Linked DNA regions of Saccharomyces cerevisiae S288C. Changing the gene in region 1 together with any one later gene gives a genetic interaction. Each region holds a gene or a part of one and is shown in the gene's direction. Other genes may lie near its edges.

The links.
Region 2: mutations in HAA1 (region 1) and PLM2 together harm fitness more than expected from each alone (negative genetic interaction), as found in Saccharomyces cerevisiae (one large-scale study listed by BioGRID).
Region 3: mutations in HAA1 (region 1) and PAU3 together harm fitness more than expected from each alone (negative genetic interaction), as found in Saccharomyces cerevisiae (one large-scale study listed by BioGRID).

Annotation. Positions count from the first base shown.
Region 1 is NC_001148.4:567,183-578,687, forward strand, and holds HAA1 (Haa1p), read left to right. Parts: upstream 1-5,835; coding exon 5,836-7,920; downstream 7,921-11,505. Other genes in the region: methylisocitrate lyase ICL2, read right to left, coding at 87-1,814; REC8 (Rec8p), read right to left, coding at 2,154-4,196; SUT2 (Sut2p), read left to right, coding at 9,370-10,176; DNA-directed RNA polymerase I core subunit RPA135, read right to left, coding at 10,403-11,505. UniProt on the Saccharomyces cerevisiae protein: Regulates the transcription of a set of genes, many of which encode membrane proteins. Among the genes regulated are YGR138C and YRO2. Does not seem to be dependent on copper.
Region 2 is NC_001136.10:1,442,713-1,453,857, forward strand, and holds PLM2 (Plm2p), read left to right. Parts: upstream 1-8,640; coding exon 8,641-10,206; downstream 10,207-11,145. Other genes in the region: PUF6 (Puf6p), read right to left, coding at 1-691; myo-inositol transporter ITR1, read right to left, coding at 1,001-2,755; SEC20 (Sec20p), read right to left, coding at 3,131-4,282; LCD1 (Lcd1p), read left to right, coding at 5,118-7,361; 60S ribosomal protein eL37 RPL37B, read right to left, coding at 7,486-7,745, 8,135-8,141; methionine adenosyltransferase SAM2, read right to left, coding at 10,598-11,145. UniProt on the Saccharomyces cerevisiae protein: Binds to the promoters of genes with functions important for the G1/S (start) transition; primarily genes involved in DNA synthesis and repair, chromosome segregation, nuclear division and transcription.
Region 3 is NC_001135.5:299,023-308,690, forward strand, and holds PAU3 (seripauperin PAU3), read left to right. Parts: upstream 1-8,778; coding exon 8,779-9,153; downstream 9,154-9,668. Other genes in the region: YCR099C (uncharacterized protein), read right to left, coding at 1,810-2,277; EMA35 (Ema35p), read right to left, coding at 2,249-3,199; YCR101C (uncharacterized protein), read right to left, coding at 3,460-4,008; YCR102C (uncharacterized protein), read right to left, coding at 5,339-6,445.

The DNA of each region.
Region 1 (11,505 bases):
AAAGAGGATAAATAGAGATAAAAGAGATATGTGACTAAGTTGCTGGCAATATGTATTATTTATACTTTTATCTTCTTGAAGCGTATTCAAAATTGCGTTTCGGTAAAGCTCTCACCAGATGTACTTAAAGTTTGGGATGAAGCACCGTTTTGGACAACTTTCATTAAGGAATCAACATATTCTGCACCAGACCATAGCTGGTGTGTCATGATATCACAATTAGTCTCCTTTTCCCGTTTTTGCACTTTTTCGACGTATGCTTTCATTCCGTCACTTTGGAAGCTATTGGCTAATTCCCAGAATGATACTCCATCTGAATGCAGACCGGCAAGGGAAACCAGTTGCAACGTGAAGCCTTCTTTTGCCAAGTCCCATACGAAGGATTTTAATGCCTTATCATCAAAGCCGTGAGCGCTCCAATTGAAACTAGGAGATAAGTTATATACTAGCTTGGTAGCTGGAAGTTGTTTATGAATTTTTCTTGAAAATGAGCGTGCCTGCTCCAGGTCAGGAGTTTTCGTTTCCAGCCAAATCATATCAGAATATGGGGCAAACACCAAAGATCTTCTAATAGCTGCTTCAATACAACCGTTAAACATGTAATATCCCTCTTTGGTCCTCGGAGCATCCCAGTCAAATATAATTTTCTTTAGTGGTGTCACTTCTTGAGCTAAAAGTTTCATTTCTCTTAAGCTTAGGTATGCTCTACCCAGCTTGTTTACCATAAGGTCTTCCTTCTTTTCTTTATAGCTTTCAAACTCGCTTGCCGTAAACTGCTTTTCTAAGGCCTCTTCAAATGTAAACAGCTCATTTTCATGGTACCATTCTTTTTCCATGTCAGCAATGGCGGAGTTGGGAATTTTTTTGTCCTCCATCTCAATCAATTTTTCGCTCCAAGGCACCACGTTATCTCTTATTATACCCCTAATGAATTCGTGGTCTCTCGGATCACTGCTTGAACTCAACAGCTTACCATTACAGGAATCTGTTCTTGCAATAACCAAATTTTCTGTCCCCATGATATCCCATTGAAACCTGGTGGAAATCAATCTCATAAGATGTGTTGCTGTGGGCACCAAAACAGCCCCACTTAGATGGCCACACCTTTTGCCTCCCACCATCTGATCTTCAAGATGAATACCAGCAGCCCCTTTCTCCGCAAACAACTTAGCAACTTTCATTACAGTCGTTGGGCCACCGTGACCCATGTCTGCGTCCGCGATAATTGGTTTTAAATAATCAACAGGAGTAGAACCTTTGATGGAGGCCTCCAAGAAAGCCTTTCGATCGTGCAATTGCTGCGCCTTGAATATTCTCTCCACTTGATTCGGCACAGTATCGTATGGATAATCGCCAAAATCCGGCGATACTTCATTTGTAGATCCAACTAATGTGGAAGAACAAGCCCAACCAGATATGTAAGCAACTTTGATATTTCTGCAACGGGCCAACTGACTCATTTGTACAGGATCGATAACTCCCAACGTGTGAAGTGGAGTACCATTCTTGAAATTCTCTTCTAGTAAGTTGAACAGCTTTCGAGCTTGATAAGATGAAGGATAAATTGAAGTATTAGCAGGAAGGCTGCCCCGATGCTTTACAACATCCGTAGCTGAGTATGGACGACTGATATTCTTAAATCTGGCTGATTCCCACCATTCTTCTACTTTACTTGATTCCGAGAACACGAAGTCTTTAGTACTGCTTGCCCCGTTGAAAGATCTTCGCAGTGACTTGTCTGATGACAAAACCAGCTTCTTCAGTGTTCCCGTAGTTTTTCTATTGAAAGTTTTGTTGTTAATCATTGTAATCATCGGCGAAATACTAGAAAAGTCGAAATCGATATTATTATCGGCGCTGTAGCTTCTTTAGGCCACTAGTACTTTTATAAGCTCTTCAACCGCAACAAAAGTTAAGAAATAAGAGAGTTATTCTTAAGCCCATTTTTTACATTATATAGTGTACGTATGATATCGCTAGCATGATGTTAGTGTTTCGGCGCTTCTAATTGAAGAGCATATCCTTTTCTTCTCCAATGCACTTTTATTTCTTTCCCCGCAAGCATATTCGGCCCGGATCTCGGACTTGGATCATTAACCTGAGGACAGCGGCTAGTAACCGCTGTCGCTCATATGGAAGGAGAAAATAAAAATTCAGGCATATACAATTATTTCGTCCTCTCTTCTCAGTTTAAGATCTTTAGTTACCGCATCTGCAACAGGATATTCGTTCAACTTGACCATCCCTTTCGTAGCCAAATTCAGTAAGGATAGGAAGGCACTGGCGGCTATCTGTCTGCTGACACCTCTTTCTACATCATCAAAGTTAGCTCCCGTTTGAGCTTCGCCCATGCGGCTTGGGATGATGTCAACCAACAGCATCTTTCTCTTGAAAGGCGGATTGGAGCGCGTTGTTCTTCCGACAACAATTGATCTTTCTTTGATGTAATCGTAGAATTTTTTAGTTTGATAATCCAGAATGACGTCTTGAAAATTTGTTTTGTCCTGCTGCAAATTTTGCTGAGAGCCATCAGAAAAACAACTGTTGCTGGAATCGTCTTCCTCGGCAAAATTCTGTTCAGATGGCCCGACTCTCCTTCTGAGAGCACCAACTATATCTTCATTGAAACCACTAGACCTGGTTGAGTTTCTGGTATGACTTCTTCCAAAACTTGAAGGAGGTAGATTCAAATTAAAATCTAGGATGTTACCTTGAGAGTTTTCTTCAATATAGTGCCCATCTTCCAAATCCTCATTAATTTGTTCAAGGTTTAAAAGTAAATTATCATTTTCCATATCGGAAGAATAATTATCGTTCTTATTATTGCGAAAACTTTTCCTACCATATTCGTGACTTCTGGTACTACTTGAGCTTTGGGTTGATACTAAAGAATGTGCTCTTTTTCTCCCTCTTTCAACTGAACTAAAACCTTGGGGATATAAGTCCCATTCGCTAGTCTTTATATTGGAAAAGTCGTTAAATATACTTAACCAATTTGTTGAAAAAAATTCTTCCTCACCACATGACCTTACCAAACTACTTATGTTAGAGGTGAGAAAATTTTGGCCGGTTAGTTTTCTAATCCTGTTTTTTTCCATTAAGTGACTGTAATTTCCATGGTTGAATTTGAGAACTTCATTTGGATAACTCGTTTTGGCATCAAATTGTACCTTAGAAAATTGCCCACCTACATCGGCGCGATGTCCTCTTTGCATTCTGGTGTTAAGTTTCTGTTGAAGATCGTTTTCTTCTTCAGAAGCCTGCGCTTCTAACCCCAATTCGTAGTCTTTGAGATTGGCTACCGGCCCTTCATTTTCAACTGATGTATCTTCTCCTCCATTACTGTTATTTTCATTATCGTTCTCAAAATTCAACACCAATTCATCTCCTTGATAATTAAACTTGAAATCGTTTCCATCCTTCTGTGAACTTGAGTGAGAGCCTAAAGGTGTCCCCTGATGGCTCACTATATCATCTAAGTCCAGGTTAAAGTCCACATCAACGGGAATTTCATCCAGCGGAAAAGAATTTCTAACGTTAGATCCTAGATTACTTTGCGCGTCTGAGTTAGTCATGTCCCCATGAAGCTCGAACCTGTTAGAATTACTTAACTCATTGATGTAGTCTTGTCTCCTTATTGATTTAGCTTCCTCAATAAAAGATACATTATCTTGGAGAGTAGTGTTAAGAAACTCCAGTGCGGGAACTTTAGTAATATCATATAAGGGATCGTCATCGAAAAAAACGCATTCTTCCCAGGTGTAATTATTGTTTTTGTTTCCTATAATACTGTTATTACTATTCAATCCATTAATCCTCGTAGACTTATTTTTGGCCTTAAAAGCGTATACATCATTTTTTTGTAACTGCACAAGCAGGTGATTTAGGTCATTCAACACATACTCGGTTTTTTTATTATAGCAAATTGTCACTCCATATAAAAGATTAGAAATGTATCTAAGAGAAAAATCATTTTCGAAATTTTGAATTTCATCACATGTTTTTGGTATGGAAATATTTACGATGTCTTTTTTCTTAACGGTGGATGAAGATATGTTTCCAGTGGAGTTGCTTTTGTTTGAATAATAATTGTTACTTTCCTTTACAATGGAATTTCCCAACGCAGAAAGCAACCACACTGTTGTGAGGCCCTTATATTTCTTGTCATCTTTAAAGTTCAACGAAAGAGGTGCCATTGCAGAATATTTGTAATATTAATCTATATATAGCAAATGCTTTAGAGTTGCTGAGGCTAAAAAGAAATTATAGAACAACTATAAAATATTAAGTCCGGATACACTGCTTCCTTTATACCATGCCCTTCCCTTTATAGTGTAAAAACGCGTAATCTTAATCAATCTGATATATTGGTTTGCCGCCGAAGTCAAGTTCTCCTGCTAAAACGAGACAAAAAGAACACGTGAAAGAAGAAAGAAAAACGTTACGATAAAATAAGTTTTATACCTACTTTCATATCTACCAAAGGAACACAATGAATTGCCGTATGTTATTCTTGAAGTAAGAGTCAAGTATTATTTATGGACTAGTATTCACGTTACTAGTACATTATCACATGCGGTGTAAGAAGATGATATAAAAATTGAGGGACAGTAATCAAATTCAACGGAAGTCAAAAAGGAAGGATTGGTAATGTATAATATCGAAAAATGTGCGAAATAGTTGATAATTGTTGGAGTTTTATAGTTGTTAAAGGCTATAATATTACGTATTTAGAATATACTAGAATTTCTCTATGAGAAGAACCCACGAAGAGATCGATATTCTCGATATAATGGCATTATTGTTATCCTTTTCATCTTATGTGACTGTCATTCATCATCCTACTAAATTATCAATCCTTGCAATTAGCTTCTATTACACCTGATGACTGTTTTTCAATCTTTATGTGATCTTTTTACACCCAATGTGATAAAGTACTAGTAACATGAATACTACTAAACAGATGATACTTTAGAGTTTTCATTCCAACACTCAATTGTAAAAATAAGACAATATTATGATTTTTTGGCTGTATAACCACATCTATTTAGTAGCAGGGTGACATGTTACTCCCACACAATACTTCGCGCAAGTGGTTTAGTGGTAAAATCCAACGTTGCCATCGTTGGGCCCCCGGTTCGATTCCGGGCTTGCGCAATTTTTCCCCCTCGCCCTGAAGGGCGTAACGTTAACGCTTCCGGTAATTTGCGAATAATTTTTCTTCCCATTTCCCCTTTCTTTTCCCTTTAACATGTGGAGCATAGCAGGCTCTTTACTTTTTTACGCATTCAGACAGTCGGGAGGTCAATTGGTGGTGCCGGTTGTGGGAAAGAGGTAATTTTATTTCCTTTATTGGACATGATTTCAATAGTCACATTGGGGCAGGAAAAAGAAAAGGGAGAAAAAAATTCAGTAAAGAAAAAAAATAAGAAAAAGAGAAAAGAAACAAGAGAGGGCTACAGATTTCTAAATATCCTTTTGCTGCACATTTTTTATTTACCTGCTAATTGGTCTTAGTAATACAGAGTCGTGCATTTCCACTTTATAAGAAAAAAAAAAGGGATAACAGCACCAGCACTTGATTGAAAACTAGAAAGTTCACGTTTTATAAGTCCTTTCCGTTCTCTTTATCAGTTATAATAAAAGAGCCAAGACAAAACGTGGCAGGGAAGCTTTTCCAAGGAAAAGAGGGTTGTAATATTAAACAAAAACCGTAATCAAGCAAAATAAGACCCCGTGGTTTTTTATCATAGGAAAAGAGTTCTCTGTTGTCACTCTACCATATTTGACAAGAAAAAGGAAACAAAAGTATAGAAAAAAAAAACCTAAAAAATAATGGTCTTGATAAATGGCATAAAGTATGCCTGTGAGAGGTGCATAAGAGGCCATAGAGTAACAACATGCAATCATACAGATCAACCGCTTATGATGATCAAACCCAAAGGTAGACCTTCCACTACATGCGACTATTGTAAACAACTTCGAAAAAACAAGAATGCAAATCCTGAAGGTGTTTGCACGTGTGGCCGGCTAGAGAAGAAAAAACTGGCACAGAAAGCCAAAGAAGAAGCAAGAGCTAAAGCCAAAGAAAAACAAAGAAAACAGTGTACCTGCGGGACTGATGAGGTTTGCAAATATCATGCTCAAAAGAGACATCTAAGAAAGTCCCCTTCAAGTTCTCAAAAGAAAGGAAGATCCATTTCTCGTTCTCAACCAATGTTTGAAAGGGTATTGTCTTCTACTTCACTTGACAGCAATATGTTATCCGGCCACGGAGCACTATCAGATACCTCTAGCATACTGACGAGCACATTTTTAGACAGTGAGCCGGGTGTTGGTAAAATTTCAAAAGATTACCATCATGTCCCTTCATTGGCCTCCATTTCATCCTTACAATCCTCGCAATCGTTAGATCAAAATTTCAGTATACCACAAAGCCCGCCGTTATCTTCAATGTCATTTAATTTTCTCACGGGAAATATCAATGAAACCAACCAAAATCACAGTAATCATCAGCATTCAAAATCAGGCAATAACTGGCAAGATAGTTCGGTAAGCTTGCCAGCGAAAGCTGATTCACGTCTTAACATGATGGATAAAAACAACTCTGTGGGTCTTGACCTATTAGGCCATTCAAAACGAATATCGCCGATATCAAACTCTCGTGTGGGCGAAGTTAGCGTTCCGCTAGAAGAATATATTCCTTCTGACATTGATGGGGTTGGAAGAGTTACTGATAAAAGCTCTTTGGTCTACGATTGGCCATTTGATGAAAGTATTGAGAGAAATTTCAGTACAACCGCAACCGCTGCAACTGGTGAAAGTAAGTTCGACATTAACGACAACTGTAATAGAATTAATAGCAAAAGTTATAGTAAGACTAATAGTATGAATGGAAACGGTATGAACAATAGCAATAATAATAATATCAACAGTAATGGCAACGACAAGAACAATAACAACTCTTCTAGACAAGAACATCAAGGAAATGGACTATTTGACATGTTTACAGATTCATCGTCGATTTCAACGCTTTCCCGTGCAAACTTATTATTGCAAGAAAAAATTGGTTCGCAAGAAAACTCTGTCAAACAAGAAAACTATTCGAAAAATCCTCAACTTCGTCATCAATTAACTTCCAGAAGTAGATCATTTATTCATCATCCGGCAAACGAGTATTTGAAGAATACTTTTGGAAATTCACATAGTAATGACATCGGAAAGGGAGTTGAAGTGCTATCTTTGACACCGAGTTTTATGGATATTCCCGAAAAAGAAAGAGAAACGGAAAGATCGCCATCATCCAATTACATTACTGACAGACCTTTCACTCGAAAACCTAGATCTTCTAGCATTGACGTAAACCATAGGTATCCACCTATGGCACCAACAACCGTAGCGACATCTCCCGGTGCATTGAACAATGCCGTAGCAAGCAATCTCGACGATCAACTGAGTTTAACATCACTAAACTCTCAGCCATCATCGATAGCAAATATGATGATGGACCCTTCAAACCTAGCTGAGCAAAGTTCTATTCATTCAGTTCCTCAGTCAATAAACTCTCCGAGAATGCCTAAAACTGGAAGTCGCCAAGACAAGAACATTCACACTAAGAAGGAAGAAAGAAATCCGCTAAATAACATACACGATCTGTCACAATTGGAAAATGTACCAGACGAGATGAACCAAATGTTCTCCCCACCATTAAAAAGTATGAATAGACCGGATGCCATAAGGGAAAATTCATCTAGTAGTAATTTCATAATCCAAGGAAATAGCATGATCTCTACGCCTTCCGGAAGGAATGACCTTCCAGATACCTCTCCAATGAGTAGTATTCAAACAGCGTCACCACCAAGTCAATTACTGACCGATCAAGGATTTGCGGATTTGGATAATTTCATGTCTTCGTTATGATAAATTTGCTTTTCGTCTCTTGCTTCTCTGTAACTGTAGTTTTCCTCCTCCCACATATATATATATATATACACTTTTATACACCTAATAATATCATCGGCATTATGATTGCTTATACATTTTCATAATCAATATTACTGTTCACCATTTGAATCACTGCAGAAATATGCACTGCGCCTTCTTTTTCTTTGCCTGAAGCACCCACACACAAGAACAGGAATGTGAATGGCCTCCCCATCTCACTTTTACTTAATAGTATTCTGACAATATAAGGTATCAGAGAGTAAGACCATTATTAGGCAAACAATAATCTTCAGAATTTTTAGTAGCGCATTCTCAACCTTTCTAGGTGCGTTTTTCTAATGAAATAGTATCGTTTTCCTTCCGCATTCCTTGCGTAGTTTGTTGTGTAAATATAGCAATAAGAAACCCTATAAATCATTATGATGTAACTCCCGATTCTTTTAAATAATTACATAAACTAGGAAGGCAAGTCCGAACACGCAGAGATGAGGTATTTGCACTCAATGACAAATCTAGGTTTAAACTACGGGGCTCCATACCTTATCTCTTCACTTATCAAAAGTAGGCAAAAGAAAAGAAAATAAATATAATTTCTTTTTCTGCAGGCAAGATTTTAAAAGAACTTGCGCGTCCTCTGTGCAATCTACCTGGGGAGTCTCGGGCTTTAACCGCTCCCCATTCTAAACTGCTTCCATTGACGTGTACTATACTGCTCACTTCTTGCTCTTCGAGCAACAAAATCTGTATTACGTTTCTTACACTAGTCGAGTGAAAGAGATAAGATACCCACTTTTACTTGCCGGGAGAATGGAAAAGAGAAAACGGAAGAAAGGGCTTAAATACATTTTCCTTTAATATGAACATCCTACTGTAAGATAAAAATTGGATGCTGATAATGGAAAGGAGACATGTACGGTATGTACGGCAAAACCTCGGCGGGTTTTCGCCGCTAGCTCATATATTCTTTCGTTAAATTTTAAAATTTCTTATTCTAAATCTTCTTTACATGTTTGGAAAGAATTTATTGGAGAGAAAAATCTAGACCTGCCAAGCCGATAAACGAATGCCTGCGAAGAAATAGTGTAAATATTACTCCTGAAGGTAGAGTCATCTAGGCGGAGACGAAAACAAAGTTTAGCTTTTCGTGAAATTGCCCATTTCATGTTTATCAACCACCAAAGGTTAAATGGAGGTTTGACAAAAGAAATTTTCTTGCTAAAGGTTAGCATTTTTTTTGGAATTTTTTTTCCTTCGACTGGCTGTAGTTGTCCTTCTATATTACGTACAACAAAAACTTTCTTGAATGAAGAATTAGTTCTATCATATAGACCATAAGAAAGAAAACGCACTTGGATAATTTTTAACAAAGAAGAGGGCAAACTGACGCTCACCAAGCTATTGGTTTGTTTGGATCAATCGTCAGATATGAAGCCGAACAATCGAACTTGTGATGTAATTACCAACAAAGATGAATCTCTTCCTGCACTTTTGCTGCCTGCACTGAACAGTTACACCTGTGACGATTCATTGCTAAAAGGACAAATTTCAAGCAATGGCAGATATCAACCATTCGGGTTTTCTGATTGCTCTTTACTGCCAAAGCGTTTAAACATTCAGGCAGGGCAAGGATCTATGCCAGTTTCTTCGATTCAATGTGCAGACCACAGTTATAGTAATTGGCAAAAAGAATCCGAAAAGACTAAGCTTCCCAAGCTTGGTTGCCCAACAGAGTACACTGAATACTATAAAACTGTTTCTTCCGGCGAAACAACCGATTCAGCGGTTGTTTCATCTATAGCAACGAACAGACTCAAAAGAAAACGTCAGAGGGACGGCCCAAGTTGTGACTCTTGTAGGATAAAGAAAATAAAATGCAATGCAACAATCATTATCTTTTTACAGGATAGGAACCTAATTTCATCAATTTCTTCAAATTTGCATTATACACTTTCCCAAGACGACATAAACCAGTTTCGAATGAAGTTTTTCAGGAAACTGCCTGACGTGATGGGCACATATGAAGTCATAAAACACCTTGATAAAATAGTCCTTTTCAAAGCCTGCACCTCTTGCAGTAGAAGAAACCAAAAAAATGGAAAGTGTCTTTTTTCGAGAGGATTTACAAAATCTGATATGAACGTATTTCCCAAGATAAATAGTAAACTTAAAGACAAAAGTATCTTCGAGATGACTGTCGATGATTATGTTGCCGCTGGCTTCCAAACCCTTTAGGTTTCATGCATGTAATTTCCTCCTATGTAAAATATAGGAATATTAATAAAACGCACCAATAATAAGTTAGATATTTTTCTGCAAGATATAAATTTGTTTACTCATACATATATATTCTATTGCGGGGCGCTCTTGTATAAGTAATTCAATAAAAAACCTCTATATGATACAATTGACCAAGCCTTCATTTACCATTCTATATCAATTTGGAAAGAAGGGTATTTCTCTATTTGGGCTCTACATTATAACGCAATCTTATACCCATTGCGGATAGCTCAGAGTCCAAGTACTTCAACACAAATGGTATGGCCACCGTAGTTGTTTCATTACCACCAACAAATTTGTTACCTTGTCCATCTTCCCAAATTTGAGAGTCGTCAATAAAAATTTTCTCTCCATCTTCTGATTTAGTCAATAGCTTCTTTGCATCTTCGAATCTCATGGAACAACGACGGCAACAAACGGTGGAAATCGAACCAATTCTTGGCACACTCTGTTGCGTGGTCAAAATAGAACCACACTCGCGACATACGGATGCCTGTGTGTAGTCTGATGAATTTAGCAGACGATCTTGTAATAGAAAAGATGTACCATGCCCAATCAAAGCATCTCTTTCCATTTCACCGACACGAATACCACCATGTCTCTTTCTACCTTTGACAGGCTGCATAGTCAAACTATTCACAGGACCAGTGGAACGAACTTGGAACTTGTCATTGACCATATGACGTAATCTTTGGTAGTAGACAACACCAACATAAATATCTGCCCTTAATTCTTCACCAGTAGCACCTGAGTACATTGGCTCATTACCATGGTAGTTGTAACCCGCCTTCGCTAGTTGCTCACCAAAGTAATCGGCTGGGGTATCGTCCTCGTTAAAGATCCAAGGTGTAGAGTCCTGTGCAATACCATGCAATGCCCCCGCTTTACCTGCTAAAGATTCGACGAACATACCAATGGTCATACGCGAAGGGAAAGCATGAGGGTTAATGATGATGTCTGGTTGGATACCTGTTTCGCTAAAAGGCATATCAATGGTTGGCCATTTTCTTGAACAAACACCTTTTTGACCGTGTCTAGAAGAAAATTTATCACCAATTTGAGGCGTTCTTCTAATACGATATTTTATGCTAACAGTTTGTAGTTCTTGGAACTTATTGGATTCATCACCGATTAAATTTACCTCTTCGATATATGCTGGTTCAGAGGAGTGATATGTCTTGATTTTGGTCTTATTTAAAGTATCGTCAAAGTATGCGCAGATTGGATCACCCTCTTCAACATAAGTGCCAATGTATGGCAAACCATCCTCGTCTAATTTCTCAA
Region 2 (11,145 bases), on another chromosome or scaffold:
CGTGTAATTCATTTATTATAGTTTGCCTTGAACTTCTTGAACCATAATGCAGTAACTTAACCAATAGATACTTACCGTACGCAGATGTGGCTAGAACATAAAATTTTCCCTTTAAAGCATCGACAATTTGTTCACGACGATCTTTGGACGAATACTTGACTAAAGTTTGAACAATACGGGAAGCATCATGCTTTAAGACAAGATCACTGATACAGTCCTTAGATAGCTCCCAGATTTCGTTGGAAAGTTTTTCACGAATCTGTTTTGGTAAAGGTGGGGTCTTCACACGCAATCTTTCCCAGACGGATTTAATTTGTTGCACTTGGGTACCAGATTTTCTTTGCATTTTCCTTTCTTTTAGCAGTTTTCTTTGTTCAGTGTGATTTCCATTTTCACCTCCTTCAGATTTGTCCTTTCCTTCTTTCTCTTCATTCTCATTTTCATGTTCCTCACTGTCATCGGAAATATCTAATTCGTCAGCTTCTTCTTCTGCTTCAGAGTCACTGGTACTTAAATCATCCAAATCATCATCATCTGATGAAGAGGATACAGCATCTTCCTTTTTGGATAGTTCTGATTCTTCATCAGACGAATCAATAGAAATTCTAGGTTTTTTGGCTAATTTCTTTTCTGAATGACTAACTTCTTTAGCAGAACGTTTTCCGTTTGTCTTCTTGGTTAAAGGTGCCATTGTCAGTTAATTTGTTATTCCTGATTGTGCTTTATTTCAGTACTCTATAATAAAACGCTTTCACCTTCGAAATACTTTAGGTAGGCATCTCATCTCATCCCAGCAAAAAAAATTTTCAGTATTTCTCTCAAGGTGAAAAAAAAAAAAGGTCTTCAATGCCGGGTTAGTTAATCTTCTATATATGCATACAACAATTAGTTCGACTTAAATACAATGAACTTTTTTCTATCTTGTAATTTATTTTTATTTATTTTCTACTATGTATTTGAATATTCAATTGCGTCTCCTTCCTTTTACCTCGTGAAAGGACTATATATCCTCTATAATCTCTTGAGTTGGTTCATATTTCAATTCATGAACTCTGGCAACTTGCTGTTTTCTCTTCTTGGCCAAAGCTTTCGAGGCTTTGATGTTGAACCCGTCCTTCAAAATAGTTTGTACCTCTTCTAACTCCAATCCCGATAATTCTGGATAACAGAAGTAGCAGAAAATGGTTGATAAGCACGACAATCCCGCGAAAAAGGCAAATGTACCTGCAGGAGTGATATTCTGTAACATGGTCAAAAATGTGGATGCAATAACCAGTGAACCAGCCCAGTTTGTAGCAGTTGCATATGAAGTCCCAATACCTCTCACGTTTTGGGGGAATAGTTCCGATTGTTGCCATGGAACAGTACCGATACCAAGAGCGTAGAACGCAGCAAATACGATAATAAATACGATGATCACAATACCCCAAGAGGAGAAACCGGAGGAAACCACCACAGCGACAGCGCCATCAAACTTAATACCTAGAAAATGGAAAGCAATAGAGCACACGACTAAAGCCATGGTCATGCCTGGTAATCCAATCAATAATATGGTTCTACGGCCTATTTTGTCAATGGAAAAAAAGGCAACTAAAGTGAAAATAAAATTGGTACCGGACACGATGATTGAAACAGCGGAAGAATTTTTGAAACCGACAGTTTCGAAGATGGTACCAGAGAAATACATCAACGAATTCCAACCGGTAAACTGTTGAATTGCTTGTAAACCACAACCAATGATCAAAGCCCTTAGATTAGATGGTACTGTGTGCAATTCTTTGATGGTATTCCAGACTTTTTCAGGGACATTCTTACCAGGAATAGATTGATTCAAAGTAACAAGTTCTTCCACCTTACGTTCAATGATTTCCTCCGAAGTGTCAGTGTAACTTCTCTTCAACACCTCAGTAGCCCTTGCCAAGTCGCCCTTCATAACGTAGTATCTTGGAGTGTCAGGTAAAAAGCACAGGCATGTGAATTGCACAGCAGTGGGAATTAGTGACAATCCAACAAGAATTCTCCAACCATTGTTGACGTAGTTTAACCCAGCACCGCAACCGTAAGCGACTAATTGACCACCAGTCAACCATAAGGAATTGATGACAGTTAGTCTCCCTCTGATCATTTTGGGAGCAATTTCACTGATGAAAAGTGGCGCGATCAAGGAGCCGATACCGACACCGAAACCCATGATCAGTCTACCAACAGCCATTTGCCAGAATGTGTGTGCGGAGACCTGTAAGATTGCGCCAATGACAAACATCAGATTCGAACCCATTAAACAACGTTTCCTACCAAATATGTCAGCTGCAGTACCGGCGAAAATACTGGTAATCAAAGCTCCCAGAGAGGTAGCCGCAGTGACAATTTCCTTCTCCCCATAAGTAAGTACCTTGTGGTCCAGATCTGTGCCGATCGAGATCAGCGCACTGGATATATAACCAGTGTCGTAACCAAACATGAAACCGGATATGGATGCGACAAAAGTCAGAGTGATGATGAAGGGCGAAAGAGATTGGTTAAAAGTGATCATGACCGACGTGTCATCCTCGTCGTTCACGGGTTTAATTTGAATCCTATCTTCATCATCGCTAGCGGGAGCCCTCTGTATTTCATGTGACTCAAGTGTAATTTTACCTCTCTTTGAAGGTGAGTCATGCTCACTGTTGAACTCTACACTATCAGCGTTGCCAACGGCATCACCAACATTTGATTGCGATGTCTTTGACGTGAGATATGGTATGTGTATTCCCATTTTAACACCCACTGCAGAAACAAAGAAAATGAAAGAGATGTATACAGTAGGACGACCAATAAATCTGAATAGCGCACCAAACTGAAAGAGAAGAATAGAGCAAACACCTGCCAAAGAAAAGCCCAAGTGTGAAAGGTCTTTTCTCAACTATGGCTTGATTCCTTTTATATTTTTTCCATTTTGCAACAGCGCGTTGAGCTTGGTCGAGCTTTTTTCACATGCGGTGGGGAAGGCGTATTTAGCGCAACCAGTGGGGGGTATAAGCTATACCTAACGCATGTGAAGAGAACAGAAACAATGGTGAGAGAAAATAAATGGAGAGGATGGAGAGAACTAAGTATATGCGCTTATTATGTTATATAGATGTTAAAATTATCATAGCTCATCATGTGAGACGATCCTGTCCACGGCCTCATCGACAGCCCGCTGGATACTACTGACGGCTGATACAGATGCGAATGGTTCCACAGAGGTTGCTGAGGATGTAGTTGTAGTGGCTAGAATGGGTGCATTTAGCACAAGACTGGGTGCTTGAAGAGAGGACGAGGAGCCTGCATAGCTTTTAACTAGACCTAGGGTGACGAGTATACCCTTGAAAAACTTGAATAGCAGCCAGAGGCCGAGTTTAACAGGTAACTTGAAAATACGACGCCATAGAACCCACGAGACGCAGCATAGGAGGAACCCAAGTGATAAATAGACATCTCGTTTCTCTTGATGGGAGGCATTTTCCAGTACTTTGACCAAATCGGCAGTTTTCTTGAAGACGGTTTCGAATTGAGTGTACTTGTCATCGATTTGTGTTAAGGAATTGGTTTGGGCTCTCAATTCATCCAAATTCAGGTCACTTTGTAAAATTCCGGACTGCAAAATTTGATTTCCTCTCACCAAGTTATTCGTCAGTTGTTTTGTTTTGCTCAAAAGCTTCTCTCTAGTGCTGGCTTTTTCCATCGATGTGGACGTTAAGCTTGACGATGACGACGTTCCTTGGTGAAGCTTGTCGTAATCCACAGCGTGAAATTTTATAGCGCGGTCTCTTTTCTCGTCGTTCCAAGCTAAGTCACGTTTGTGGTGTTGTCGTAGAATCTCTTTGACTTTCAGGCGGTAGCAATAGAACCAATCGACGAATTGCAACACGAAATCCAGTTCTTCGACCAACTGAGCATATATGTCCTCGTTCATTTGTTTATCAAGCTTCACAATATGCAACTTATCGCATTGATCGTATCTAGGGCTTTTTTCCCACTGTAATTTTAATTCGGGGTATTTGTAGGTCATTTCCACAATACTACATTTCAGTACCGATTCGAAATCTGAAACTTTGCTCTCTATAATATTCACCAAATCCTCAAATTCAATCTCTTCTTCTTCATCATTGTGTTCGTTGGCAATGGCTGCAAAACTGTCCTTATTATCATGCTTGCTTTCTCCGCTTTCTTTTCTGCGGGAGATTGCACTTAATTTTTGCAAATTATTTAATAATGCATCTTGCAAAACTTCCAGGTCCTGCAAAAATGTCACGACCATAATCTTTAATGGCTTTATAGTTTGTTATGCGCCTTGGCAGCGTGATCCGATCTTACTTGTTAACTGTATATCAGGTATTTCTGTTGGCATTTTTACAACTGCGAATGTATTTTTCATTATTTAGTAACAATTCTATTTACCCGGACAGCGTGTGCAGGTGATTTATTGATAAAGTCACTGGTAAAGACGTGCTTTCTTTAGTGTGGGATTAGATTTACCACTTGTTTTGAGATTAGGAAAATTCCAACGTTTGCTAAAGGTGCAAACGAAGCTGTTTTGTTGCTTTTCTTTTCTTTATGTAATTGTATTTACCATGATCCTCTTTGGTGCGGCGCTAACAATAGAAAAAAATACACACACATTAGATTGGAATTAGAGCTTAAGTGGTACAAACTAGGGCTAATAAAGAGGTAACGGTCGGTTCTCTACTAAGGTTCGTATTGTGTGGCACCGATGTTAAGCACTTTTAAGCGGAATAACTCGAGTGGAAATTTTATGTTTAGTTAGGTTTTACCTTGAATTTTTTTAAAAAAAAAAGAGTCAGACAGGCTCGCTCTTTCCTACTAAATATTAGGAGCAAAGCAGTAAAAAGTCTCTGAATAAGGATAGTAACCTGTAGTAACTCCAAAATTTATCTTACAAAGAGCTATTAGTATCTTGGTTCTTCTATTTTCTTCGATTATTGGTGATTTTTCCCGCCTCTAGCCAAATCCGAGCGTTCCATCGATTTTTTGGGGAAAACAGCACATGCAATAAAATAAAAAGCAAACAAATACGCGATAGTGCACGAAACGTCAACACAATCATCAAACTCTTTTGCATATTTCTATTATAGATGAGACGAGAAACGGTGGGTGAATTTTCTTCAGATGACGATGATGATATTCTTTTGGAATTAGGCACCAGGCCTCCAAGGTTTACTCAAATACCGCCATCATCAGCAGCATTACAAACACAAATTCCCACTACTTTGGAGGTTACAACGACCACATTAAACAATAAACAGAGTAAAAATGATAACCAACTGGTTAACCAACTGAATAAAGCTCAAGGTGAAGCAAGCATGCTTCGTGATAAAATAAACTTTTTGAACATTGAAAGGGAAAAGGAAAAGAATATTCAAGCCGTCAAAGTTAATGAATTGCAAGTCAAGCATCTTCAAGAGTTGGCTAAATTAAAACAAGAATTACAGAAACTGGAAGATGAGAAGAAGTTCTTACAGATGGAAGCGAGAGGAAAATCGAAAAGGGAAGTTATTACGAATGTAAAACCACCGTCAACAACATTATCAACAAACACAAACACTATAACGCCAGATTCGTCCTCAGTTGCAATCGAAGCAAAACCTCAATCACCACAATCAAAAAAACGTAAGATAAGTGATAATTTACTGAAAAAAAATATGGTTCCCCTAAACCCAAATAGGATTATTCCCGATGAAACGAGTTTATTTCTAGAGTCAATATTACTTCATCAAATAATAGGCGCTGACCTGAGCACAATAGAAATATTAAATAGATTGAAGCTTGACTACATCACAGAGTTTAAATTTAAGAATTTCGTCATTGCTAAAGGAGCCCCCATAGGGAAGTCCATAGTTTCTCTACTTTTGCGATGTAAAAAGACGTTGACCCTCGACAGGTTCATAGATACTTTGCTAGAGGATATAGCTGTTTTGATCAAGGAAATATCAGTTCATCCAAATGAATCGAAATTAGCTGTCCCATTTCTCGTTGCATTGATGTATCAGATTGTACAATTTCGTCCTAGTGCCACTCATAATTTAGCACTGAAGGATTGTTTTCTTTTTATTTGCGATTTAATAAGAATCTATCATCATGTATTGAAAGTACCGATACATGAATCAAATATGAATTTGCATGTAGAACCTCAGATTTTCCAATATGAACTGATAGACTATTTGATAATTTCGTATTCCTTTGATCTCCTAGAAGGTATATTAAGGGTACTGCAGTCGCATCCTAAGCAAACTTATATGGAATTTTTTGATGAAAATATTCTAAAATCATTTGAATTTGTCTACAAACTAGCACTAACCATTTCATACAAGCCAATGGTAAATGTAATATTTAGTGCAGTCGAGGTCGTTAATATTATCACTAGTATAATATTAAATATGGACAATTCCTCAGATCTGAAATCCTTGATAAGCGGTAGTTGGTGGAGAGATTGTATTACAAGATTATACGCTCTTTTGGAAAAGGAAATTAAGAGTGGCGACGTATATAATGAAAATGTGGATACTACAACTCTTCATATGTCGAAGTACCATGACTTTTTTGGGTTAATCCGAAATATAGGTGATAATGAATTGGGAGGATTGATATCAAAGCTGATTTATACTGACCGATTGCAAAGTGTCCCAAGGGTAATTTCTAAAGAGGATATTGGGATGGATAGCGACAAATTCACTGCCCCTATAATAGGTTACAAGATGGAAAAATGGCTTTTGAAGTTAAAAGATGAAGTTTTAAATATTTTTGAAAATTTATTAATGATCTATGGAGACGATGCGACCATAGTAAATGGAGAAATGCTCATCCACTCCTCTAAATTCTTATCCAGGGAGCAAGCGTTAATGATAGAAAGGTACGTGGGACAAGACTCCCCGAACTTGGACCTCAGATGCCATCTTATTGAACATACTTTAACCATAATATATAGGCTATGGAAAGACCATTTCAAACAATTGCGTGAAGAACAAATCAAGCAGGTAGAAAGCCAATTGATTATGTCACTATGGAGGTTTCTCGTATGCCAAACCGAAACTGTGACAGCAAACGAAAGAGAAATGAGAGATCATCGACACCTTGTAGATAGTTTGCATGATCTGACGATAAAGGATCAAGCCTCTTATTACGAAGATGCCTTTGAGGATTTACCAGAATATATCGAAGAAGAATTGAAGATGCAATTGAATAAAAGAACGGGGAGAATAATGCAAGTAAAGTACGATGAGAAATTTCAAGAAATGGCAAGAACTATTCTTGAGTCAAAATCATTCGATCTAACCACACTAGAGGAGGCCGATTCATTATATATCTCAATGGGACTGTAAGGCAACAATCAAAAGGGGAAAATGTCAACGCTTTATAGAAACCTTGTAATGCTTAATATTAACTATATATAATTTATATTATTTTCGTTTTAGGAAAGAACAAAACTTATAGATAATATCAAATTTAAGCAGAAGTAGCCTTAGCAGAACCGGTTTGGAAACCGTTCTTAAATCTTCTGGAGACATGCTTCAAATATCTCATTCTACCGGTACCAGTAGTGTGTCTTCTCTTTGCCTTGGCAGCCCAGTTGTGAGATCTAGTCTTAGCGGATGGGTAACCACAAGAGGAACAGGTCTTCTTTTGAACATGGAAAGAACGACGACCACATCTGTTACACAAGGTGTGAGATTTGTTGTGACGCTTACCGAATGAAGGAGTACCCTCTGTTTAAAATGAAAACATAAAAGTTAATTATCGTTAGTAAAACTTTGAACTAAATAAACTCTACTGCTGGATTCAGAACAACTTCATTGGCGGTCTAGATGTGTGTTGCTGTCTTACACTATTTCTTCTCACCTTTTTGTATTGACACTCAAATCTTTTTATTCGCTCTTTATGCATCCGTTATGTGCAATTTCTTATCATCAATGGCTCTGGCAACATTCATCATTCTATATTTTTAAATCTTTTGGCATAGTGAATAACGTAGGTCTTAGTTTACCTGGCCTCTCCTGGTGGAAAATTTTTTCAGTGCTTCTTTCTCATGTAATCCTCTAAATCAGACCGGATGTGATTGAACGTTGACTCATCAATTAATAATTCCTGTACATACTACCCATCTTTACTTATATATTCGTTTACCTCTTTGTTCTTTATCTACACATAGTAGTGCTTTTTGTTACCGCTTTCTATAGTAACCTATGCTTACTATTCCAGCCATGTTTCCAATCTCATCCTTCCCGCAAGTGGCAGGAAGATTCTCAGTGATAATATTAGTGGTGTACGGAGTGCTTGAAGAAAAAAAAAACTGATATAGAACCCAAAAATGTTCGGCTTTTAAAATACAAATATGTACAGGTGTTAATGTCTAAATAATGATAATCCAAACGCGATAATTTTTTTTTCGCGTTTGTTTTTGTTTCAGAAGAATAAGTAAACACTTCTGCCTCTCCCAAGAAAGTTTAATTTCTCTCCTTATTTGCCGTTTCTATCGTTACTAGCAACGGGGAACAATATATAGAAGCGTTTTTTTTTTTGGTATACTATTTACACAATATTTGCCGATTTCATTAGTCTTTTCGCTAGAAGTTTCACGACAAAATCGTCACAATTTTGGTTATGTCCCATCTCTTCCCACCATCATCACCAGTTGCTGGTAAACCTTTGGAAAGCCCACAAAAAGAACCTGGTAAGCTTGCTAATACTTCTGTATTGACCTTAGGAAGAAAACGGTATAATTACGAATTGGAAGAGTATCCTACTCCAGACCCGTCGTCTAGCATCGGAAGACAATCTTCACCAGTGAAAGATATCACTTCACGTTTAAATGAGACCAAATCTGCCTTGTCATCTCCTTCAAAGCAAGAAAAGGTGCTTGCAGGCCCTATCGAGATTGAATTAGATGCATCGGATCCCTCACGTTTAGCCATCGGTAGGAAAAAATCAGTCTGCAACATTATTTTGCCATGCAGAAAGAATATCTCTAGGCAGCACGCTTTTATTTCATACGCCGCCGACAGAAATGAAATAAAATTGGAATGTAATGGAACTAATGGGTTGTCCGTTCACTTGCCTTACTCCATGCAGTTGCATTTGGTAAAACCCTTCCCAACAAGGAACTTTTATAAACTAGTGGCAGAAGAGCCTTTGACCTCGCAAAATACTAAACAATCGCATGGAAAAACTCTTCAAAAGAACCAAAACTTCATCAGCTTTGTTTTGGCTAAAGGTGAAACTGTTACTTTCCCCTATATCCAAGGAAGTTTCATAAATTTTACAGGCGTCACAGTCTGTCTTTCATTGAAAAAAGTAGCACCTTATCCTGGCGATGGCAACAATAACTTTGACGAAGAGAACTCGACAGAAACGGAGGATGAGTTGTGTTTATTAACAACAACGAGCGATGATTTTTCTTGGCAAAAAGAAACACCTTCGATGAAATTTGTCCCAGTTGAGCATTCACCTCGTACAGAACAGATCTCAAAACCATTACTTATTGCATCTCCTGCTCTTGTGAAAAACTCCCCCATTAGTTATAGAACAACACCCCAAACATCTTTCGTTATTAATCAGCCATCAACTCCAAAGAAACTGAAGCGTAAATCAATTTCATTGAAAAATAACACTATACAAGAGACACCACTTCCTAAAGATAAAATAATTGGGACATTAAGTGCCAGTACTAGGAGTGGTGGCATTAATGAAGAAGAATCTTTCGCAGCAGTTGCAAAAAAAACTAAAGAGCTGTCTTCTACAACCGCGATTGTATCTCCTGCACAAAAACGTCTTAAGACTTCATTGAATATTATTCCCGAAATTTCTCGGTCGCTCTCAGAAAGAGGAATTCGGTTTGATGACCTAGTTCATGTGCTATGTAATCATCTTGCATTTTCTAACCTTCAACAAACGCCTTTATCCCAATTGCAAAACATCAATTCCAACACTTCACAATTAAGCAAAGATGAACTAAAAAAGGTCTTGGAGACTATTTCTTGCATTGGTATTATTGTGCGTGAAGGAAAAGATGCGTCTGGCAAGCCATTAGAAGACGAGTATTACTATGATGTTGAAAACGATGATAGCGACGAGAGAAAGATTTTGTATAATTCGTTAAAAGGCAGGAGCCGATTAAGGTCGTGCAGGAAGAAACATAAACAGTATTTCTGGAAGAGGCCGACCAAATAACCTCAAAGACATTCTATATTTCAACCTTATTTCCATAGCATAGTCATATTACCACGTGGAGCATCATGAAAAAAACTGGTAAAACTCGTCAAAAAGTTCTAAAAACATAAAGTAATATTTTCTATATATTTCCGTTGAAGGAGCTAATACATAATCCATACAAAATAGATCATTATGCCTAGATGTTATTCTATTGGTGTTTGTCAAGTTTAAGAATGTTTAAAACTTTTCTATTGTATCATTTTCTAGTAATTACATGACTCGAGTTGAGCGAATCAAACGATAAGGCATCGTCTTCTCAATATAGGGAGGTGATCGGGACCAGCCTAGCATAAAGAAAGGGATTGAAATAATTATAAAAATCAAAATAAAACATTTATTGTCTAAATGTTTAAAATTCCAATTTCTTTGGTTTTTCCCATGAGTACTCTTGATTAGTGAAGTGACCATAAGAAGCGGTTGGTAAGTAAATTGGTCTAGCCAAATCTAATTCCTTTACTAACACACCTGGTCTCAAGTCGAAGTTCTTCTTAATAATTTCAATGATTTCGTCATCTGATTTTGTAGCTGTACCATAGGTGTCCACATGTAAAGACAATGGTTCAGCAATACCAATAGCATATGAAAATTGGACTTGGACTCTCTTACACAAACCAGCGGCAACTAGAGACTTGGCAACCCATCTAGCAGCGTAAGCAGCGGAACGATCGACCTTGGAATAGTCCTTACCGGAGAAGGCACCACCACCGACGGATGAGGCACCACCGTAAGCGTCGACAATAATCTTTCTACCGGTCAAACCAGCGTCACCTTGAGGACCACCGATGACGAATCTACCGGATGGTTGGATGAAATATTTGGTATTTTCGTCTAACATATCCTTTGGTATGACCTTTTCAACAATATCTTTTTGAAGTTGAGTTCTCAAGTCAGCGGTGG
Region 3 (9,668 bases), on another chromosome or scaffold:
CTATTATTCTAACATCATTGCTGTTGGGTACAACATTCTACGCCGCTATTACTACGTGCTGCTTCTTTTGATTCTCTGCTTTCTTTACCGTCATGCACGTGCGCCGCGAAAAGTATTAATCATGCGGACACTCTGGCATTTAGGGGATACTGTCAAAAAGACTATGCTCAATACTGTCATATTCATATGCACGTTCTTTTTTTAATTTATCTTGGCAAAACGTGGGGCTGGAACTTTTGAAACGCACTGCAACATCTGTGGCTGTACAGTCAAGAAAAGTAAGTACTCATCGTCATGCTCTAATGTGTATATGGTATTTGTGGTGCAGACACCATTAGAAGTATAGTTCACGAAATGATGACACGATAGCATGTGCTTTTCGACGGCTGATAACCTTGTATTCTCTTATTTTTGTATTCTTTTCGTAAGCGGCATTTGTTTGCAGAACCTTATCGCAGATATCGATAAACATTTGTTGACAATTCTTTTTCGCTCCCCTTCTTTTTGTTTATCTTCGTTATATTCAATAGTCTACATACACTAACCGTTGAATTGTTGCAAACAAATACTAATAAAAATCTATATATAGTAAATTGAAGATGTACTGATCAGTCTATCATTGTTTAGTGCACCCAGACTCGAATCTTAAATACCACTTTACACACCTACTAAATTTTGTCCTCACAAAATGAAGACAGGATTCAAAACCGATTAATAGTAGCAGAAACTAAAAAAGTACGAATATTAGTAAAATTCATGTTCTTGAATCGAGCTACTATCTTTGTCGGGAGGGTAAACGATTATAACTCAAAATGACTGGAACTGGTGATTATTAATTTTTACGTTTCCTGTGCCAATAAGCGGAAGATAAGAGGATAGAAGAAAAGAAAGGCGGCACTTGGCGAACTACAATGGCGATTATATTCATGGCGATTATATTCATACAAAGGTAATGGAGGCCTCGGATAATGGACAATATTGAGAAAATCCTTATGCTTACTTCTCTTAATAAAAAATAGACACAGCCATTTATTATGCGTAAAAAAGATTACCCACTTGTCTTCGATGCGTGCTGCTGCCAATCAACCTTTTGAGCGGAACTTCGAGCTCGCAATGCGTCTGGAATGTTGCTAGAGACAGTCTTGGTTATCTGTGACATGTGTTTCGTTCAGGCGTGTGAGCATCTTCTTGTTCGATTTCAAAATTACCGCCTTGACTCGTGAAACTGGATAATTCGTTGGCGTTTTCATATAAGTCGTCTGATGGCGAAAACTTTTCCTTTACTTAGCATACAGCAAATATCCCCATTTGACGGATTTTTGAAAAATGAGCCCGCTAACCCAGAATGAACTGCATTACCAAGCATTTATGTAAACGTTCCGCCACCATCTTTGGTAAGGTATACTATTATGTTCTGGATTTAAGGTTGATTCACAATTTTTCATCACCAAAATCTGGTGGCATGCCTAGTTGTCTGGTTTCAGGCAATTTAGCCATCATAGAAAAGCATCCTCTGTCTTGAGTTGAGAAAATGTTACTCATAGAGCCAAACAAATAAACCCTGGAATTAAAATATAGTTTAAACACAACTTCATATTACACTGTAAATACATATCACAATAATAAATTAACGAAATAGTAAGACCTTATGTTTCTATATGACATCAGTCCCGAATAGTGTCAATTTTTTGTCGTCAGTGTCGAACATTTTTACTGTTTATTCATCATATCGTGAGGTATGTAGGCATCTTCTATTGACTTAAGCATGATAAAAGATTCACCCAAAACTGTATCGAAATATTGATAAAATTAAATTTCAAAGTCAAACTTGTTTTCAATGGTTGCTATTTTCTTACCATTCGAGCTCTCCCTCAGGATTTTTTCACATGGAATGTTCATGGCCTCAATTTCCATGGGCTTTTTGCATTTATCTCCTTTAATTAATTGTAATGGCTCTAATGATACAGTTTCGCCATTAGCTTTGTCACATATATCGGAAAGGGCAATCTGATCATAATCTGGTATACAGTCACCCTTTGCATCTCTAACAAATTCAGAAGAGCATTCGTAGTCGGATTCAGTACAACTGTCACAAGGTATTTCATGCAAAATCATATCTTTGAATGTCCTTTTTACCAAACAACGGGCGTCCTGTTTCCTCCTTTTATACATGTATTTGGCGCCATTAAGGCATTTCCCATCTGCCAAATTCCAGTCTTCGAAATCTTCCTCTTCACACGTTTTATAGTCAAAATGCAGCAGAAAAATCGATCGCATACAGGACACTTCTTGCAATATATGAGATGTTGGTGTTGTTTCCTTCTTGACTAGCCGTAGTAATGAGATGTCCGCTTAAAATAAATTTTGAGCCTGATCCATCTGGCGTTGTATTAATCAACTCTAATGGATGGATATAAAATAAAGCGTCAACAAGCTCATATTGATTCCATGTTCTACCTTGGTCCAAGGAAAAATAAAGTTTGGATTGTACATCACCATCTTTATATGAAGGAGACGGGATATATACAATAATATTTCCCAGATCACCAGTAGCATATAATCCAGAAGAATTATGGGCCACCCTCCATGTTAGACCACCGTCTCTAGAAATGAAAGTTTTTCGGTCCTTCCGATCGAATTCATTGTCATCGCCAACAGAACCTGTCATTAATATGATCCCAGCAGAAGGATTTGAAAGTTTTAGATTGTAAAAATAACCCTGAAGTGAACATCTCTCAGGCCTAGTGATATCACAGCCGAACGAATCGGCATTTTCTTCATCAACAACTTTCAAATTTGACCATGTGAGGCCGTTATCAACGGATATTTTGGTTTCTCCTCCGGCTATATTTTCAGTATAGTTTACTTGGTGATTAGAATAGTCAATGGAAGGATGAAACGATCCAAATATTGTCCCTTTCAAGAAATCAGGAAAAGTGAGCCTAAAATTTCCAAACTGATGGTTTGGTGTCCATTCAACAGGTGAGAATTTCAACCCTTGCGAATCTGATATGAAAATCTCTGAGAGATCTGGATCAGCATTTTCCTCATTTGTGATTTCTGTCGATATAAGAAGGATGATCCTTCCGATAGAATCTTCACGAATTTTAATCACTTTGACGTGCCGTAATTGAGTAGGCAGCTGTGCCTTTTGAAAAGTAGATGCATCATTGGATATCCAGATGTCCGTAGATGACATCTCGTTATGCCCGTCATCTTGCGTTAAAACGACCACATATGACTTCAATATCTTGTATTGAGTAACAATCTTATCTTTAAATTCATCAAAATCTTTAAACGTTTTGCCTCCATCACTACTGAAAGCCAACTGTGTGTAGGTAGCAGTTAAGCGATATTCTTCATCGTATTCACGGTTAGAGAACAAACAGAGTATCGAAGTATCATTACCAGTAAAGTCAGAATCCTTGCTAGACTTAATGAAATGACAGCTTTAAGTTGTTATATCGTCGTCTTTTTTCTTTTCCAAGGAAGGTTTAATTTTAAAAAAGGATTCCCATCATTGCTCAAGTAAATTTCACTTGGGTCATATAAAACGTCTGCGTCTATCATATAGCTATAGCAATTCGCAATAAGAAGTTCTTTGTTTCTAGGATGAGTAGTTATAAAACAGTCGCCATCTAAATATTCTTCTGATGAGGGTATAGTTAAAGCCCTCCATGACTCCCCACGGTCGTCGGTAATGTAGAATTTGGGTGATTCACATATAAAAGCGAAACCTCTTTCCTGTCCATGGAAAGGATCAACAGTAAATCTGAAAATGCGCTCTTCAATTTCTTTGACCGTTTCCCAATTTTCTCCAGCGTCGAAACTTATCCATACAACCCCCCAACCATCTAATCTGATAGAAGTGTTGGAATCATCAAAACTCACTAGATTAAATGATGTTTCTATAGGAGCCTCCGTTACTTTTGGGACAAATTTCTCTGCATTGAGTAGCGGAAGTAGTATAATTACCCAAAGAGTATATATGGCATGAAGTAATATCATAATTGAGGATCTCTTACCTTTTCTTAGTTCAAAGTTTTTTTTCAAAGCTCGGAACTTTATGCTACAATTCAATGACTAAAAAAAAGGTAGCGGATAATCTTTTGGTTGCAAATTGGCGGCATTTAAATATATTTTGGGTTGCAAGTATTCTAAAAATATTCTCATAATATTCTAAAAATATCCAGTCTAGGTAATTGCAATTATTTTGAGTCCGGTGACTTTGAGTTGACCATGTTCACTTCCTGTACAGCCATCAAGGTAACGTGTTTACCATCTAATGGAGAAAACCAAGAGATAAGACTAGAAACCTAGTTAGGATACTTGGATTTGCTAATGTCGCCAGTAGTACGATAATACCATAAAGATACGCTGTTGAACCTGATTTGTATATTTAAAGAATGGGAATCTTTAAGGGATCATAGTCTAGAATGGTATTCTGCAGAATAGATTTTAAATGGTGAAAACTTTCCCTCACTATGTCCAATTGATGCTTTTTAGGATGACGTTAGAATTTTATTCTGGTGAAGGCACTTTTAATATGAAGATTCGTTGAAGTATCAATAACCTTTTATTGGCATACCCTTACCTAACTGGTCTCTCTCACCTCGTGATGTTACGAACGCCACGATTATTCTCAAACTAGGTAAAGATTTTTTCTTCAAAATTAGTGGGAAAGACTCGACAGACCCGCTTACCAGGTATTCTTTCTAAACAATAGGGTTTACCAGTACCCCTGAAAATGATAATGCCCATGTGCGGCTGATCGCGTTAACTACGTATGCAGTTGAATCAAAGCCATACCACAGAAAATGGTACAAGAGCCCACTGGATAGAATAGTGCTGGCTATCAAACCAATATTTTCTTTCCAGCTCTTGGGGGACCTCTACTGCGTTATATCGTAGTTTCCATTCAGCCTGCTTATCGCCTTAGGAAAAGGGAATGTAAGAGGCAGAAAAGTGCGGCGCAATCGTTCGGACAGCGAGCCGCTATTATAGGTAAGAATTCTTAAAGAGCTTCGCCGGATATTATTACAGTGTATTAAATTTCGCCAAGTCTTTGCCAATGGAAATAGGTGCATAATTTTATGTGCTTGGTACATATGAGTTCAATAGATATGTAGTAGTTGGATAGTAGATAGTAAGGATATATAATCATGGAAGGGTGACGCACAACAAATCACATAATGAGTTATGATTTTCACTGTTCTCATCTGTTTCCCCTACAAGGCGTGATCAATAACAAACAATTTCATTAAAAAAAAAAAAACCAAGTCACTCTAACATACGTAATAACTGTGTATACAAAAGAAAAATAATATCTGTTCGTCATCTAGTTTAATACGGCAACTAGTTTTTCACCAGAGTTCTTACCGATTTTAATGTCTTCCAGGATACGAGGAACATCGTAAAGCCCGTTCTTATAGACCCTTGCTGGAATATGGTGAATTTGCCCATCACTAATCTTTGGATTGATGAACTTGACGAATTCGGTGGCAGCTCTCCTGGCTTCTGGGTCAGCAGGGAAAGTAATGCCACCAAATGGTACTTCATGGCCGCCTATTGAATACAGTCTTGTTCTGTCAATAGTGACATTTTGCCTCCTATTCTCCTTTTTGACGTTTTCTTCTGTCAAATTAGTTAATTCGACAACGGTAGCATCCTGTTTATCGGCCGCACATTTGTACACTTGTTGAAGCGTATTTTGATTCGCGACACAGTCGACTAAATACGAGATATTGTTGTACTTGTGTTTAATTTGTTCTACCACGTCAATATCATGGTAATCAAATAGTTGATCAGCACCATATTCTTTCAACAGTTTTTCGTGTTTCCGAGAAGCCACAACAATGATCTTGGTGAAGCCATTCAATTTATTGGCTAATTGGATGAGCGACTGACCTACTGCAGTTGCACCGCCCCATAATAAGATGGGGCCGTTTCTTTGTGGGGTTGATGGCTCCCACTTCAGGTTCAAGCCCAAGTTATAGGTCAACACCAAGCCAGCTGTGGTCAGTGACACTGGGATAGTGGCTGCCCCTTCCAAAGACCTGACAGGGCCGGCAGGTAGAACATCTTCACCCAAAAATTTGAGTTCATTGGGTGATTTGTAGGCAACCACAGTTGAAATAGCAGAATATTCAGCAAAAGCACCATTGGAAGGAAACCTTACGGAAGATCCGTGAATGAACCCATAAATATAATCACCAATAGAAAAGTCTTTAGGATCGACGGCTGGGCCCAATTTGACAATTTGGCCGGCAGCGTCACATCCCAGAATAGATCCTTGAGGCCCGACCTTGTAGTCAATGTGTGCCCAATCAGTCGGGTTACCAGCAACAGCGAGTGTCTTAATCAATACGAATCCTTCTTCCAATTCAGGAATGGGAACGCCCTCTTTGACAACCGCTTTACCGTCTTCAATGACGACAGCCTTCATGGTTTCTGGAATTGCAACTTGCCTGTTTGTAGGTTATATGTAATTGTCGTTGATAATCTGTATTCAGCTTGCCATTTTATAGAATATGGTTAGAAGGATCTTAAGCTAGATAAAGAAAAAGAAAAAAATAGAAAAAAGCCTGCCCGCTTTATAAGAACTTTTCTCAATATCTGTTGAGGAACACTTAGTAATATTGTCTATCATGGTTGCTTTATTCTTGGTGATATTACTCTCTGGGATTCGATGTGTTCTCATCATCTGAAGGGTTTCCTATGTGTTGAAAGCCTATCCCACTAGACGGAGCCGCGCGCCAGCCGGGCGGATCCGAGACATCTTAGTCAGCTGAGACAAGAAAGGCACAGCTCTCGGACAGGAACTGCTGTCATATGAAAACCTAAAAATGTTTCCTGGAAATTCCATGACTGCGCAAAGTTTGATACGTTTATTGTTCTTCTCTACTACCGCACTTTCTATCTCGGAAACCTTTCAACTGAATGAACTATTGTTAATTGTATGGCGTGTGGCCTTGCTATTTCAGCAAATTTAGAGTAAAGTAAACTCCGTCGGACCAGTATAGTAACGAAACAAGCCATTGATTCTGCAGCATATTGCGACCAAAACCTGGAAATTGGTGGCTATGAGTTTTAATTTATAATTATATGAAGACAAAGCTTGGAATGCTGAGTACTTTTTCTTCAATGCTGCTCACTGCCCAGAAGCGTTCAGAACAACTCTACTGGAGCCATTCTGCTTGAAGGAGGATAAAAATGCCAAGATCAAGTCTTTTAAAGACTCTATCCCTTTTCATCGGAAAAGCACTACAAGTTTATTCTACAGAAGTGGACAAACTGTGGAACTTGATCCATACTGAGTAAGTATGGAAGACTGTTAACTTGGAGGATTTTTCTCTGCTTTCTAAAGAAGGTTCACTGCTTTACACTCACCTAGGTTCTCATGAGTATTGCTAGCTAGTGCGAGTTTGATCTATACTTCACAGACTTTTAACACCCCGTTCTTTAAGTTTTCCCTGATTATCAAGCGGATTTCCAATTCTTATTCCCCACTATCGCACCTTTCTTATCTGAATTGTATTTTTGAGTGGCCTAACTGTAATCTTTTATTTTGTTTTCTAATTATTGAAGGCGGTTTCTCGAAACATTTCACGATTTCCAAAATTCAAGAATTGAAATTATGAACATAGAAGACAAAATGCCTTTTTTATCAACTATTATGAATTCTCTAGAAAGTGGTTGCAAAGGAAATAAATATGTATTTGCTGAGAGGAAAAGTTTGGAAGAACAAAAAGTATTTCTTTGATGGAGCTGATTATCAAGCATTCTTTACGGGGAGCTTTCGAAATTTTTTATATTCAAGGACATTTATGTTGTGTGGGTTATTAAACGTGGGACTTTGGAAATACATCCAAGAAGCACAATTGAGCTCTAACGATGAACCGTTACCATAAAGATAGAGACATTTCTTTTGACTTAGAAGCTACATGGAGTACCAACTATTAATACACCTCTCCTAGAGAACATTTTTAAAATAGAATAAAATAAAGTAGCGCTCTCAACTACCCTTACACTTTTTTCCTTCATATCTGGCTAGAAAAGAGGGATTACATCTCGGAATCAAAGTTTTAATACTGCTACTACGAACTGGTTACAATTCTATTTTTATCATACACGATACTTTGAACATCAACTTCTCTCAATACCATCCGCCTTCAGCGGCTACAATTACGTAATTGCACCAAGGCATTCGCCGAGAGTTTACATATTTGCAGACCCTAACAGTATACGACTCCCAACACACGTTTAATGTTGTACGAATTCAAGAGATGGAAATATTTCTTCCGCGGAAGCCGTTTAAAGCAGACTGAATTTAGGCTTAGACAATAAGCTTCTGAACGAGGGTCCAAATCTAAAATTCGGATATTCTTTTTGACCGAAAGCGGAAACTTCACAGGCGCGCGTAAAAGGGTTTTTCAAGGCACCCCGGCACCCCTATAATTGGCATTCCCACATTCTGCGCATACGAATACACATGAGTGCCATAAAACAATACTCCACATACGAAACCTATGAAAGATGTATGATTCGTTCAGAAACAAGAGCATCTCCATAGAGATAATGAGATTGTGTGAAAGATGAGATATGGAGGATATGTGAGGTGCTAAATGAGCGTCTGTTAACGAATCGTTTAAGTAGTGATGACAGATGGAGGAACGGGTATAAATAGAGCTGCTTCAACTATATGCCTTTGAGGTATGCGCTTTCATTTCACTATTTCTTGTTAAGATTACATCAGCACTAACAAACAAAACAAATACAATGGTCAAATTAACTTCAATCGCTGCTGGTGTTGCCGCCATCGCTGCCGGTATTGCCGCTGCCCCAGCCACTACCACTCTATCTCCATCTGACGAAAGGGTCAACTTGGTCGAATTGGGTGTTTACGTCTCCGATATCAGAGCTCATTTGGCTCAATACTACTTGTTTCAAGCAGCTCATCCAACTGAGACCTACCCAGTTGAGATTGCTGAAGCTGTTTTCAACTATGGTGACTTCACCACTATGTTGACTGGTATTCCAGCTGAACAAGTCACCAGAGTCATCACTGGTGTCCCATGGTACTCCACTAGATTGAGACCAGCCATCTCCAGTGCTCTATCTAAGGACGGTATCTACACTGCTATTCCAAAATAGAGACATGCCTTTACTAATGAACTTCCATAGACATTGAAAAATAACGAAAGAATAAAAAAAAAATCTTTTTTTTTTTTTGATATAAATACAGTTGACTATATAAACATATATCAATACTATAAGCCTATATTTGATCAAGACGACATTATTTAGGTGCATCAACAACGGAAAAGAAACTTTCTTCTAGGCTATCCTTCTGGGGAAGCAGTTGAAAGTGCTATCCAGTATTATTGCATATATTCTTAATGAGTAGTGCTGAAGTTTGATACGTTTGGCTCTGTTGCTTTTATTTCTCCCACGAAAATAAATTGATTTCTTTATTTTTCAGTGTGTTGGCCCGGAGTTGTTTACACACATGTCTCTTTTTGGATTAATGCTGTAGATCAGGGACTATGCGAGCGACAAGTCAGAGTAACCATATTGAATTTTCGTCTCCTGTTATACGAATATTTGCATTTCTGTGCCTACTTATGTGTGTATATGTTTTTATTAGTCAGAAAATGGAGTAAGTGTTA